2 linked regions of the Mytilus edulis genome follow. The main gene of each other region encodes a partner of the protein of the gene in region 2 in a complex. Links are inferred from orthologs where the notes say so. Each region holds a gene or a part of one and is shown on either strand. Other genes may lie near its edges.

Region 1 (7,869 bases), about 11 Mb from region 2:
CCTTTAACTTCAAGTTAAAGATAAAATTGTGAAAATATCCTTTCTCATTAATTACATGTTAGGGAAATTTCAGTATTAAGGACAACAAAAAACAAAAATAAAACCTTTCAAACAGATTTTCCTCTAGAATTCATGAAATTTAATATGAGAAAATAAATCACTCTCTGGACCTGGTTACCCAAATCACAATTCATTTAAAAACTGCTGAGCAAATGCCTCCTTAATTTTAGTTATGGTAGAGTTCCCTTAAATGGATAATATTTGTATCAATTAGAAAAAACAACTCTCACCTCACCACTAAGACTCCTCAAGCATGCATTTCTCACAAGGCTGTAAATTTCAGGCTGTGTTGGGTTAGGGTATTTACTGCTAATATAACTGATTGGAGCATCATTATCATGGCTAACAAATCCAGTTTTTACTGAGTAACAACCCTAGAAACATAAGAGAATTTCAAAAGAATGAATAATAGAAAGGAATCTAATGTTTTAGAAGAGACTAAGTATGACAAAAACTCTCAAAAATGTTTAATGCAAAAATTATTACTCTATGGTACAAGTTTTGTTCATTGTTGATGGCCATATGGTGACCTACCGGTATATATATATAGTTGTTAAAACATCCTTATCCTTTGATTATGTTTGGAAGCTGTCTCATTAACAACCACACCATGTACATCTCCTTATTATTCTCATTTTAAAGGGATAATTTAATTCAAACAAAGATGTGCACATGTCTTTTACTTGGTATTTGATTATTTAACTGTTTTTGATTTTAAATATAAAAAAAGATGTGATATTATTGCCAATGAGACAACTCACAACAAGAGACTTAAAACTTATTATCACTTTTTAAATGTTTTCATGAATCTGTTGTTTTAAGAAATGTTTTTCTACAAATTAATACATCTTCAAACTTGCAACAGAATTTCCCTGTTTTTCATATATATAAAACAACAACTTCAAAAGTATCTGTTAATTAATTTACAACTTTTCAACTTTTGTGAAAATTAAAAATATTTACCTCACATGTATGTTCAGACTTAGACGATACCGGTGAATCCCCAGATGGTGATCTCACTCGATTGGATAATAACGCTGCAGCCTCCTCATGTGATAATTCTGTCTGCTCCTTTGGATGTGTAGGCTGTGTACAAAACATAACTTGTGGACCATGTCCCTCACAGAAGTGACAAAGTGCTATTATAGCATTCATAATAGTTTAACAAATCTTTCAGTTCTGAAGTAGATCTACAAAAGAGCATAAGTATTTACTTTTAAAATAAGTCAATTTAAATGTTTAAAACTTAAAGGATACATTTATGCTTTTTCAAATACTACTTTATTGACAATAACAATCATGTAAACTGCAACTTATTTCACTTTCTTTGGTCTTGACTCTTGAGAACCCAAATCTTAATGGAAAAAAAAATAAATGAAAAAAGACAGCAAAGTTGTTGTGTCCATGAGCAATACTTTAGATCACATGCATGACATGGTTACAATTTTATCTTCTCTTCATCAATTTTAAATATGAAAAAAAAAAAAAAAAAACAATCTGTGACAAACATTGAACTTTATATATATAGTGATTTCTGTAACAGACTATTCATACAGTCTAAAATTAGCAAGGTTTCCTCAAGTCTCCATCTGACATAATTCATCACAGAAAACAAATAATTTTATTCTTCCATTGCTCTATACATTCAGAAATGATTTATTTAATTTATTTGGGACATACATGTATTTCAATGATTTTTTTAAGAAGTATTCAATTGAAATTTCCCTAAACTAGTCAAATCTGTTAATATTTCATTCTACTATTAAATGAATTCAAAATCGTTAACTTTTTTGTTTTCAGACTTTTTTTAAATTCCTGCATTTGCGCAGAAATCTCCGTCCTTTTTTCGGTCTCTTTGTCAGGAGACTTTGAGCAAAATATATATATTTATCAGTCTAGTAAAACATAAGAAGGAATACAATACCAATATCATTTTTAATAATTCTTTGATATGAAAAATCATTACCTGATGATAGCGTTTCTTTGTTTACATTGAATATGACGTCATGACATACATAACATGACAACTAAAACCCCTAACAACAGAACCAAAATCCAAAATGTTACAGCATTTCAGTGTCATTTTTAACCATTTTGAAGTAAAAAAATGTTTCAAAAAAACAAAAAACAAAAATCATACAGACTTCGTCCCCTTTTACAGGTAATGCCTGACTCATATTCCAGTAACAAATAATTATGAAATTTTGTATCTAAATAAAAACTAAAAATTAATTAAGGTTCATGTGGACCCTAAGGCTAAAATGGCCATATTTTCACCTCAAAATTTACCCTGAGTACAGACAAATCTGCGCATCTGTAAAATATTTCAGGCATGGCATGCCCTAGATAAATAAATTTCAAATATTTTTTATGTTTAAGAAAAATAAAAACTTACCAGGATTTTGCCGTGCACTTTTTTTCATTCCTCCAGAAGGTGCCAAAATAAACTAAGTTGGGAAACAGGTTTGAGAACTTCCCCACAGGTAATAATTGAAGTGAGCTGTATTGCTTGACATGGACATGAGATGGACAATAGATACTTGACAATAATTGGATATTTAAACTGTGTACCTGAGTGGACCATATCAAGGTAAACTCAACTGTTTGTTAATTTTATCATCTTCTGCAGGGACGAAAAAAAGTGTACGGCAAAATCCAGTTAAGTTATGAATTTTCTAAATCATACATTGCATTTGAATTCTATTTATCTAGGGCATGCTATGCCTTAAAACTTTTCCAGATGCACAGGTTTGCCTGTACTCAGAGTAAATTTTGAGGTGAAAATACGGCCATTTTAGCCATAGGGTCCACATGAACCTTAACCAAATCACTGAATGAAAGAAAGTTCATACCAAATGAGTACAAAATATGTACTGATAGTCAATAGCCACCTAGGAATACATCTTACATTATAGTGGGAAAGCCCTTTTTAATGCAAATGCATATTAAGCTCTAATAAACAAAACATATTGCCAATGTAAACATACCAATATCTTGTTTTCATTTAACTTCTACTTTCACTTTGTTCACCATATTGGAATCATGTGACAATGAGTAAATAATTTTGACAAAAGAATGTTCATTGGCGTTCATTTAAACAATTGTCCAATCAAGAACGGCCTAGCATCTCAGTTTTGGATTGATAGACAACACATTTGTTGAAAAATGGCGGGTGCTACCTGTCAAAACGAATACACATCCATTTCATGCTACCTGTGATGAATCTGGTTAAAAGAAAGAGTCTTTAAAAAATTTCCTTGCAGAAAAAGGGAATAGGAGTAATTTAAACTGAATTGAATTGTTGGATTTCCTGAATCATCAACAGGTGAGTGACGCGCTGGCATGTTGAAACTTGAAAATAAACTGACAACGCCGGCTGCTTTATCATAAATAGATAACAAAAGCCATTTTGCAATGCAGGCCAACATTGTATTATGCTATACATAGGTAAGTGGTCCGTTTCAACACTTAAGCCACTGTCTGTTACTTTCCACGGACACTTGTTGACAACTTTTCTGATTTGTCATCAAGTTGGCAAGATTCCAAAATTAAACGAGACCAGCTGATCATCAATTTTGCTTCTTTGTTTGAGATAATTGAAAATTGAATTATAATCTGGCCTGTTGATACATGTATGATTGAATTGACTTTTAATAACATATGCTTTTTGATAAATATTTTAACTTCTTAGTTGAACAGGTATCAACCTTCGACCAGTAGTTGAATAATTATGATGTCTAGGAAAGCTATTTCAAATTTTTGCTTTGACGCCTTCCAGGGATAATTAAAAAATTGAAATTGAAAAATGCCCACAGCGGACAGCATGATTATCTAGACTACAACCTTCATTAGATTTGGAGATATAATACACAATGATGTTCACATAAAACTTCACAATGATGTTCCCATAACACTTCACACACAAGACGAGGGGGGTATTGCAGCTGTTTATTACTTTTTTTGGGTATTTTACTGGGTATCAGGTCCGTTCGCGCCCAATATACTTTCGCACACTACACGTTCGCACCTCGCACGTTCGCACCCAAGGTCCATTCGCACTCTACACGTTCACGCCCAATTTTAATTCAAATTCCAGTTGAATAATTGGAAAATCATGATTGTTGTTTTTAATTGCTTTCGTGTAAATAATACTGAATGTATTTATAGCTTGGTATGAGTAAAAGATTGAAGATTTTAAATGAAAAACACAAAAGATAATTGTTTTTAACAGCTTGATCCCTTTGATCTGAAAGGGGGCGAACATGAGTGGGTGCAAACGTGAATGGGCGCGAACGGACCCGGATTAATTTTACTGCACCTGGGCAGACTTTCTGGAAAACCGCATTGCCGTTAAAAATACAGATGACCCATTTTTCTAATTGAATTTTAAAATCATTTCAGAAAATTTTGCTTAAGTAAGATAATATACATGTAGGCTACATGAAGTGACTAGCAAAAATGACTAGATACCAAATCAAATTTGATGCAATTTTTATATAATAAAGAAGAAATATACATGATCAAAGCCTTGGGTAGGATGATTTCTCAGACTGCATCTTATTCAACATGAAGATACTCCCATTACATTGATTACAACCCATTCGTTTTCCCGTTGTCTACCCAAGTTTTGGGATATTGGAAAAACTATGTAAAACACGTAAAAATAAACATGATGTGTTATTTTAAAAGACATGTATGGTAGAATATAATTACAATATAATACTGAAATTCGGTGGCAGTTAGTCTACTTGTATAAATAAAGTTCTATAATGATATTTGCAAGCCAAATCGATATGAGGGTCTGCTCATTTCAAATCTTAAGTGTAAAAATGGGGAATGTGTCAAAGCGACCACAACCCAACCATAGAGCAGACAACAGCTGAAGGCCACCAAAACAAAAAATCATACAAGACTAAAAGAGGCCAGAGGCTCCTGACTTGGGACAGGCGCAAAATTGCGGCAGGGTTAAACATGTTTTTTGAGTTCTCAACCCTCCCCCTATGCTTCTAGCCAATGTAGATAAAACAAACGCACAATAGACTGCCCTGAACCAAGTGAGTGACTTCATTCTTATAGTTCCTAGGGACAACGAACTTGGCCTTGCTGGAAGTCAAGCATGTGCAAGAAGCAAGTGGTCCCAACTAGTCCCGCCAAGAATAATTACATGGCCGGTCTCAGGAGAAAGAATTACTAAAGTAGAACTATAAGTAATACTACATGTTGCATAAACCAATTTCCGCAAATAATAAGTATAATCAACAAGTAAAGTAAGTGACCACTATTACAAATCAGTCATTTTTTTACGACCGCAAAAATTAAAACATTTTTGATCGAATATTGGTATCACATTGTCAGCATAGTCCAAAGGCAGATGGTTTATGGATAATACTTAAGAATAAGTAAATAGAAATCAATATAATTTTAAAACAATGTTAAAAACCACAAAAGGAAGGTTGGGATTGATTTTTGGGGTCATGGTCCCTAAGGTTTAGGAATTACAGGACCCAAATAAGCATTTTTGTAGTTTCCAGTCAATAACTTGTGTTTAAGTGAATAAATCTCTCTGAAATTATAGTACCACAAGTTCCATACAACAATGGAATGCTTATTTGGGGTTATGCCACAAATCATTTTAGTATAAATTAGGGGCAAAAAAGGGGTTTTCTGGTTAAAGGATATTTTGGACAATTTAAAACCAGTGTAAGGGAGGTAATCCAATTCCATTTAAAGAATACTGTTATATATATGTATGATTACCTCCCTTATACTGCCTAAAAATTATGTATGAAAAATAATGATTGTCTTGAGATGATAAGCTGTAAATTTATTTGTAGAAGTTACTATTAATTAATATTAATTTTACAAGACTGTATGTCATTTTATTTTTTGATATTTTATGACGTTTTTAAATGAGTAGTCATTGTTGCAAACTCCATTACAAATTTGAATTGAGATTATTTTTGGAATAAAGGGAAAGGGGGAGGTAAAAAAAAAATGGGGGGGGGGGGTACAATTTTTCTCATATAAGATTTCAGAAAATAAAAAAAAAATTTCTTCAATTATTTTTTTTTTGAGGGGATTAATATTCATTAGTGTATTGCTCAAAAGCAAAAAAAGTTCATTAGACAACATTTATTCTGTGTCAACTATTTAATCACAATCCAAATTCAGAGAGCTGCATCAAGCTTAATTGAATGTTGTACGTGTCCATACTTGCCCCAACTGTTCTGCGTTCAACCTCTGTGGTCCTATAAAGATACACCCCAAAATATGCCTTTTCTAATTAGGTGCCAACCTTCACCCTAACCTCAGACAGTAGTTTAACATTACTACAAACAAGACACACTATTAATTATCAATTGAAATTGCTTAAGTCGATCAAAAAGACATTTAAACAATAACATGTGAAAAAAAATTAATGTATGTATTAACACAGTAATACATATCCAGGTTGGGGTAGGGTTGAGTGCTCACAAACTTAATTAATACATGTATGTTGAGTCGTTTAATAAAGAAAATATTTGCTTAAAAATACTGTATATCCACATCATTTGAACTCAGGGGCGGATCCGGTCATTTTAAAAGGGGGGTTCCCATCCCAGAGTAAAGGGGGAGTTCCAACTACATTGAATATGCTCCCATTCAAATGCATTGATCGACCAAAAAAAAGGGGAGTTTCAACTTCCAACCCCTGGAACCTCCCCCCCCCCTGATCTGCCAATGGAACTAGGATTGATAGTTGTCTCATTGGCAATAATACCACAACTCCTTAAATTTTAATATTGTAGTTGAATTCAACTTTAGCTTGAAATAATGAATTAAGCCCATTCCCACTCAGCTGATTTAGACAAAATGATATCATGTGTTGTATGATAAATGTGGAGGCTGTTGCAGTATACATTTGTACATGTATACATAATTATATATGTAACTTAAAAATGTTTGGCCTATGGTCACCTATTAAAGACTTCATTTGTTCTAAAAGGTTAAAATCATATTGATATTGGAATAAATATTATATATGTAAATCGAATCAGTTTACAAAAACAGATTAACTTTGTTTTATTTTAAACCTGATAATATGATTAACAAATAATTGTATCAGATTTTCATAACTAAAGATTAATATCTAACCAAGCCTTTTGATATATTATTGGTCTCTAATTTTATAAGAAGCTTTTTTACGTTTATATTAATCATTTTTTGTTTTGGTAATTTTTCTATTGTTGTCAGTTTCAAGGCGTAAATTTCACAGCTGAGTAGCAACAGAGAAAATAGTGGCCCTATATAAAAAAGAAATATGCCTGTTATTTTCAACTTATTAGACCAAGTGCATTGATTTAATCAATTGACAAGTTGTCAACAAATATCAAAATAATAAGGGGAATACCGTAATTTTAATGGACAAAAGATTATACAAATAAAAGAAGATTTTATGATATTGGTGTCAAAAAAGATATTATTTTCATACTAGTTAATGGCACAATATAGTAATGGGAATAGATTTTTTCGGAGCTAAACTTTTTATGATGGATCCAAGATTGTCCGTAGAATTAGTTCTTGCAGAAAAGGTAACATTGTTATTGAATATTTTTAAGAATATTTTCTGAAAATTTGACATTTTAGGTAATATATGTAAATAAATATCGAAGATTGGATGTCAATAAAAATTAGTTTTGTAGCATAAACCTGATAAAAAGAATTAAAGAACTCATTAGCAATCATACCACATCTTCTTTTTTATATTAAGAAGTCTGGAACAGAATATTACATTAAAATTTGACTGTTACTGTGGATTCATTATTATTC
Region 2 (7,953 bases):
AGTACATTCTATTGAAAATAAACTATTTTCTTTGTAATAGAAAGTGTTGTGCGCAGCACAGAACATTAAAGTATAGAATTAACATGGAATTTATTAAAAAAAATTTCAAACCAAGAAATTATGTAAATTCCATAATTGATAATAATTCCAAGTTCAAATACATTTAATAGCCTGTTTAAAGTTCAATTTTGGACCCTTTAGACCTCAATGTGGACCAATTTGATAAAGAGGGCCAAATATCAAAAATCTAAATGCATGTACATGGTTAGATTTAGCATGTTAAACTTAAAGAAACCCCACATATTCAATTTTTGTTGAAATCTGACAAAATTTAATTTTGGACTCCAATTTGGACCAACTTGAAAACTTGGCCCATAATCAAAAATCTAAGTACATGTTCAGATTCAGCATTTCAAAGAACCACAAGAATTCAATTTTAGTTAAAATCAAACTAAGTTTAATATTGGACCCTTTGGACCTTAATGTAGACCAATTTGAAAACAGGACCAAAAATTAAGAATCTATATACACCATTTAATTTGGCATATCAAAGAACCCTAATAATTCAATTTTTGTTGAAATCAAACAAAGTTTAATTTTGGACCCTTTTGGCCCATAATTCTTAAACTGTTTGGACCGAAACCCCCAAGATCAATCCAAACCTTCCTTTAGTGGTTATAAACCTTGTGTTAAAATTTTATTGATTTCTATTTACTTATACTAAAGTTATTAACCGGAAATCATCAGTCTTCAAGAGACTCTGACAACGACGCAGACATGATACCAATATAAGACCATTTTTTTTTATTTTTGCGGTCGTATATAATAAAACCACTTATTTGACTCATCAAAAGACAGTAATTGTGTATATGTTAACAGTAAAAGAATTCCAGATATACAGAGAATATTCATTATTCTAGTGTTTACAAAATTCATAACAGAATAGACAGCCTCAAACCTCAGTCACACTAGGCCACAATTGCATTTTGATCTCTGAAAATAATGTAGATTGCATTTAGGTTGTGGTGAGTTCTTCATGATCCTGATGACCATGGCCAAGTATGAACATGTTTTAAACAATAGTGGTGCTGTAGTGGGGAAATCAGGTCACAGTAGAAGTGTAGTGACAGCGCTGTTTGGTCGTGGTAAGATCGCAAAGGTTGCTGTACCAAGTTACCAACGTAGCGAAAACGTGATACTAGTCGGAGAGACTGCGCTTTGATCTCATGTCGATGTTACAACTACCTCACTAAGACCATCATGTTATCATTGCGACTCAACCATGCTGTTCAAGCCATAGTATGATTCTAGTCCGCTCATGCCTTCCTTATCACACTCTTCTTACGACCTGACTATGTTCATACTACAGCTATTTAGTATTTTGAGTTCTAGCTATATATATAGTCATGCTCATTGTCACATAACATATATAAAAGCTCTTCAGGTTTTGTTTGAAACATCAATTTCAATTGAACCATGGAAACACAAGACCATGTTCATGGAGTAATGCTTCTACAATCATTAACACAGATACAAAATCTTAACAAGCCATAGGCGGATCCAGGGGGGGTGGCCTGGGGGCCCGGGCCCCCCCTTTTGTGGGAAAAATGAGGTTGATTATATAGGGAATCATTGAAGCATGACTGGAGCATGCCCCCCTTAGGTTAGTCAGCGGGCCCCCCCTTAGGAAAAGTTCTGGATCCGCCACTGCAAGCAGGCTAAATTGTTATTGAGAGATCAAAAAGGACAGATAAGAAGAAATTTAGACAACTTAGGTCCTTTTGAGTTCGTCCTTGGCTATCAACCAAAAGGAGACTCCAGTGTGGGCATCAGTTGATGAAGGAGTTACGATTCTAAGATGAACCTTCCTTCTATAATTTATTATAATGCCACCAGAGATGTTTGATCAACTTCTCAACATGACTTTGTTGTTTCCGAGAAAAATTCTACTAATAAATAATGAGAAATAGAAGGAATGGAACTTTTTTTAAATATGAAACACGGCTGAGAGCATATTAAGATCGTGGAATGATTGTGGTATGATCAAGCTACATTGTATAATCGCAGTAGAAGTGTGATAAGATTATGTTGCAATCAAATAAATCGTGGTATGGTGGTATTGAGAACATGAGCATAGTTAGATCATTATAATCATAATGAGGTTGCAGAATAAAGGTGGTGAGAAAGTACATGTGGTATAATCATGGCGGGATCGTTGCAGAATTTAATTTAGATCGCGATAAGCGTGATGTGATTGTGGTATAGTGTGTCAGTGACTGGGGCATTAGGCTTTTTAAAAACATCAAGTTGTTAGTTCTGAAGGTTCAGATTTTCAAATTTCCTTTAACTCGATACAAGTCAGGCAGTATTGCAAAGAAATTCCGTAACAATTACAAGTACATTTGTACTATAAATCAGGTAAATGTACATGTACACCATGTTCACTAGTACCAAGATTTGAACGACTTTTATAATTGAATAATTATTAATTATACATATACATGGACAAATGTATGTAACATGTAACTTCATGATTCGGAAACAAACTTAAGGAAAAGTGTTTGAAACACGATCACTCTGAAAAGGGTGTCAAACCTGTCATATGCTTTCACACTGGAACTCAAAAAGGCTAAGGAAAACATTCTGGTTCTCTGTTTGAATCTGCATCATTAACTGGTTTTATTCTTTCATATCACTACGGCTGGACCATGAATAAATTATTCACAGATTATAAACGTAAAAAGTAAGTAACTACAATTGATGATATCGGATGTGTATGACCTGGATGGTCATGTGCTTGTCACAAGTTTGTTTACATTTGTATGAACACGTCGTACATGTAGATATCTAAAAGTTTATATATATAAGAATTGAATCGATTGTCCAGCTTTTATCAGACAAACATGCGCGTCGGTTATTGTTATTTTCTTTTAAGACGAATAAAAAACCAGACCCAGTTATAAGACAGAAGTAAATTGATGTTCACTGGAGGACTAGGAGATTCCATGACCAAAATGCAAATTCACAAACCAATGTTTCTCGGGTTTTTGATGATTTTTTTACAACGTAATTATTAGAACCATATTTTTTTAAACACATAACACTGGTACTTACTCGGACTTTGAATCTGTTCGCCATTTATCACCACTACTCCGAGAATTCGGGAACAACTTCTTCAGAAATTGTTGTGCCATATTGATTTTCCATTGAAATTGCCTCACATGACCCACTCTATTTAGGCCGATGAGGTCAAAGTAAAACCTGCTTTGATTGGCTAAAATCGGAATACCCCCTGTTAATCAATACCATGTGACAAACATTACCGCTTTCTTGGTAAAAAATTCACTAGACTGGATTCCAGCAGAGAGTGAGACATATATACAGTCAGAGATATAACTCTATAGGGTTATTCCAGAAAATAACTTGCTTGTGTTATTACAGATACTTTCATGAGTTGTCTACTCTTTATTCCTTAAACTTTCTAAATCTATAATAACATATGCTTGTTATTTGTAAAATTATTTCTTTTATATAAATACTATATAGTGGGCTCTAGGGAACTCTTGTTACTTAACCGGATTTTCGATGTTCTAATGTCACAAGTGATCACAAGTTATCGGTAAACATTGCGCTGGAAGACATGTCAACCTACCTGGACACATTATTCTACCAATTTTTAAGTCATTGGTTTGACCTACCGGGGTTCGAACCCACGACCTACCGCACTAGAATCAATGGAACACGCTAGCATACAACCAGACAATGCTGATCATAATCAGAAAAAGAAACTTGAAAAAAATATTTTCAAACAATACCAAAAATGTATTTCATACTTTTATTAAAGATAAATAAAAATCATGAATTGTCTTATACATTAAAGACTTCCATAGAAAAGGCGCTTCATGATTTTGTTTAAATTAATTATAAATAATTATATTTTTGGTCAATGAATTATTTTATCGATTAGCATTTGTTTCAGTGAGTTAATTTTTGTTAGTGTAAACATTGGTAACTATAGCGTTATCGATTCAAAAATAAACCAAGGAAAGTAATAAACCAGCATACTTATAGGGGGTGCTTATACTCATGAGTTACCTTTTTCATCTTTTTTTCTCTTTTATTAATAAAAGAACCCATCTTCAACCAGTTTTGTAAGGACATTTAAATTTGTTTAAATTTTTTTTATTTTGATTTGTATTCGAAACACTTATTTGTGTACCGTCACCGCTATGGTAAAAGCTGCAATCGCTGCTGCAGATTGGACACACTGTATGTAGTGTGCCGGTAGATAGTTTGAAACTCGAATTTTGATAATGTAAAATACATAATTAAAAAAAAAATGAAAATGATAAGGAGACAACGAGTGGAGTCATGCCAGAATCTACAGGTACATTAGTTTTATATATTTGATAATTATCAGACTAGGTTAGTAATACATGTATCATTAATTATCTCCAATCTTTTCACCCCAATTTTTTTTTATGAAAAACAACCTCAGAATTATTGGTAATTTAAAGTTGACGAGTTCTAATCCCGAAACAAACACAAAATAAAAATGTAAAAGAGGGACGAAAGATACCAAAGGGACAGTCAAACTCATAAATCTAAAACAAACTGACAACTCCATGGCTAAAAATGAAAAAGACAAACAGAAAAACAATAGTACACACGACACAACATAGAAAACTAAAGAATAAACAACACGAACCCCACCAAAAACTAGGGGTGATCTCAGGTGCTCCGGAAAATGTAACCTGATTATTCACAGACAATCAATCTATAAATATCTTAAAAAGCATGGAATGATATGTATTTTTACTTGTCAATAACTGCAGCACAAAAAAAAAATATCAACATTTTCTCAATATTTGTATACTTTAAAATGTATTTTTTATTACTATACCTACATCATATAGAATTTTTTATTCCAGGCTCAATGTATTGTCCAGTGGATTCCTTTATAAAGTATACAGACAAACTGCACCCTGATTGTGATAGGTAAGTAAATCTAGCAGTAATAAAAGCTACAATCTTCAAACAATTTTAAACACAATCATGAGGACCAAAACCCCAAAAACATAAAACAACATTGGTAAATAAAAAAAACAGCTGAAAAAAATCCACCCAAAGTGTATTAATGATGGTATGTATCATAATTGTTCTAAAGGTAAAGAAAAACCAGGTTTTTTAATGTTAATTCTTCATTTTAAAAATTTCAGATTGTGGCAGCGTCCAAGGGATTGTTTTGTTGATGATGACAACGAAATATGGTATTACAACGCACCTGTTGGAGAGAAAAAGCTAAAAACATTGATGAGTGACTTGAGTTTGTCATGTAAACTTAGCCAGAAATATACAAATCATTCAATCAGAGCAACAGGAGCTTCAATTTTGTCAAAACATAAATTTAATGATGCTCAGATAATGTCTGTTACCGGTCATAAATCAGTACAATCTCTATCCGTTTATCAACGGGTAGACACGCAAGAAAAGTTAGAAATGGGACAAACTCTGGGAGTAACTATGGGAGCTGTGCCAGCCCGGATAGAGGCTTTACCTGCACCTCTTATTAGATCAGCACTACCAGCACCTCCTGCAAGACTAGCACTTACTGAAAATGGATCTATGGTGCCTGCTCTTATTGAAGCAGACACTCCACAAACTTTGCATTTCGAAGGATTTGATTTGAACGCTATATTAGGGGACTTTGATTATAATGAATCATCCTTAAATGTTAGCAACACAAGACAAGCTGCCGGTCCACAATTATTTCACAAATGTAAAGTGACAATCATTCAAAATCTAACATTGAACAAATGACTTTCATTCCAAATTCTATATTCATACAAGAAAATACTTTAAATACTTGTTAGTAAATGTGTTAATAAATTCCTATTGTTATTGTTATTATTTTGATATTTTATACTAAACTTGACATAAAACGCTCTCAGTGCGATAAATTCGTTATACGGTTCGCTACTGACCCCCTACGGATCCATAGAGGGTTAGTAAAATCCATAGGGCCTACGGCCTCACCCCCTATGGATTTTACTAACCCTCTATGGATCCGTAGGGGGTCAGTAGCAAACCATATAACTTATAATGTATGTAATAACAATGATAATTGTAATAATTTTATGGTTCTGATCCTGCCTTGAATTAAATGTATGTGATTTTTATAGAAGGAAGATAATAACATCTGTCTGAACTTTTTAATGTTTCATTTTAGTATATAAAAATGTTTTTTCTGTTACCAGAGGTGGATTAAGGGGGGGGGAGCAGGGCCCGGCCTCCCCCTTTTCTGGGAAAAATTTGGTTGCTTATATTGGGAATCACTGAAGCATGACCGGAGCGGGCCCCCTCTTAGGCAAGTCAACGGGCCCCCACTTATGAAAATTTCTGGATCCGCCACTGGTTACAAATCATGTTGTATTGTTTTATGTGTACATGTTATGCTGCCCATCAAGGGCCCTTGATTGGAATAATAATTATTCTTATTCTTATAGGAACCTAAAGCCAAAGAAAAAGCCCATCAAGCAGAAGCTAATTTTTTATAATCCCCCGAAGATACTTTTTTAATTCAGTTGTGTTTATAAGAGTCGCACTTTAGCCCATAAGAGACACACCAGTTTAAGATAAAATACAAAATTTTGTCACAACTGTAATTGCATTCTTTTAAAGAATCACTTCATAAATTGACCAGTATATATGAGTTTGAATTGATGGAATACTGCACCGAGTTGCTACCACGTGCATGAAATCTCGGTCTAAATTGAGGTCTAGCTTGCTGAAATCTTCCATTTACGCCTGCCCTACAAGGAAAAACGTTTTGTTTGGGGCACTGAATAAGTGGGTGCTGATCAAAACATATTAAACAAGAATGAGTATAAGCACATGATTGATTCATGCATGTACCTTCAAGTTGGTAATTGAATGCTTAACAGTTAAAGCGCCCCGTCACGTGCTTATTGGCCCATTACTAATAGCGGACGAAGGATATACATATAGAACAGCCATAGCATAGAGTCAACAACAGCCCAAGAACCAGCTGGATCCTGCGACATTCTCAGGCATAATTGTTCACTGTACGATTTCCACCGTAGTGCGAACCGCTTATGGCGCCAGCCGTATACTATGCATGTAAAAAAGATTCTGCCCATTTACCTATGGTGTCAATTTTTTGTTGTTGCTGTCTTGGTTGTATTAAAAGTTCTCCATATACTAGTATATGATATAACGATTTTTTTATCCCCAGAAGAGGCTTGAGAATTAATAAATATATAGGAAGGCCAGGTCAACATATTCTTGCAATTATTTTTTATTGCAAAGATTAATTTCTTGTAAAGTCATCACTGGCCTTACTGCACGCAGATGGGGTTTGAAAAACTGGAAAATTTCCTGATCGAGCAATGGGTTGAGTAGAACTAGAAGCAGCGGTTGTGGTGACCGGTCCGGTAACCTCTGAACTGAGTGAAGTGGTTTCTACTAGACTTTGTAGATCTGTTAGGCCGAGAAAAAAAAAGATCGATGTTTCCGGTAACCCGACCGACCCTGTTTTTTAGCCCCGACCCTAACTTTTTTATTGGATCTTCAAAAAAAAAAAAAAAAATTGTATCAACCGACCCCGTTTTTGACACAGGCTTCTGATAGATGACATAATATTTTTTCTCTCTTGCTTCTACTTGCATAGAAAGCCAGTTAAACATTTTATTAATGTCAAAAGGTATTTCAAATAGGTTAAAATCAAGAAATTTGCACAGGTGCTTCAAAAACATTGCAAATGGCACACTTCCGGTTTTTGAAACTAATTACGGATCCGGACTTGGAAAAACCATGATAATTTTCCGGATTTCATTTACGATGTCAAAAAAAAAAAAAAAAAAAAAAAAAAATTCCGACCTACCGACCCTATTTTTCAAAATGATGTTACCGGAAACACATATCTTTTTTTTT

Evidence for each region.
Region 1: folliculin-interacting protein 1-like (region 2) and folliculin-like share a complex: the UniProt entries of both Homo sapiens proteins name them as parts of the lysosomal folliculin complex. The link is inferred for Mytilus edulis from reciprocal best matches to the Homo sapiens genes FNIP1 and FLCN.

The regions. Positions count from the first base shown.
Region 1 is NC_092352.1:53,339,458-53,347,326, forward strand, and holds the start of folliculin-like, read right to left. Parts: upstream 3,160-7,869; 5' UTR 3,048-3,159; intron 1,415-3,047; exon of another isoform or gene 1,251-1,414; 5' UTR 1,216-1,250; coding exon 1,024-1,215; intron 435-1,023; coding exon 291-434; intron 1-290. Other genes in the region: serine-rich adhesin for platelets-like, read left to right, coding at 7,554-7,631. UniProt on the Homo sapiens protein: Multi-functional protein, involved in both the cellular response to amino acid availability and in the regulation of glycolysis.
Region 2 is NC_092352.1:64,613,977-64,621,929, forward strand, and holds the start of folliculin-interacting protein 1-like, read right to left. Parts: upstream 3,259-7,953; 5' UTR 3,195-3,258; coding exon 3,115-3,194; intron 3,034-3,114; exon of another isoform or gene 2,643-3,033; coding exon of another isoform or gene 2,596-2,642; intron 1-2,595. Other genes in the region: uncharacterized protein, read left to right, coding at 4,808-4,998, 5,220-5,820. UniProt on the Homo sapiens protein: Binding partner of the GTPase-activating protein FLCN: involved in the cellular response to amino acid availability by regulating the non-canonical mTORC1 signaling cascade controlling the MiT/TFE factors TFEB and TFE3.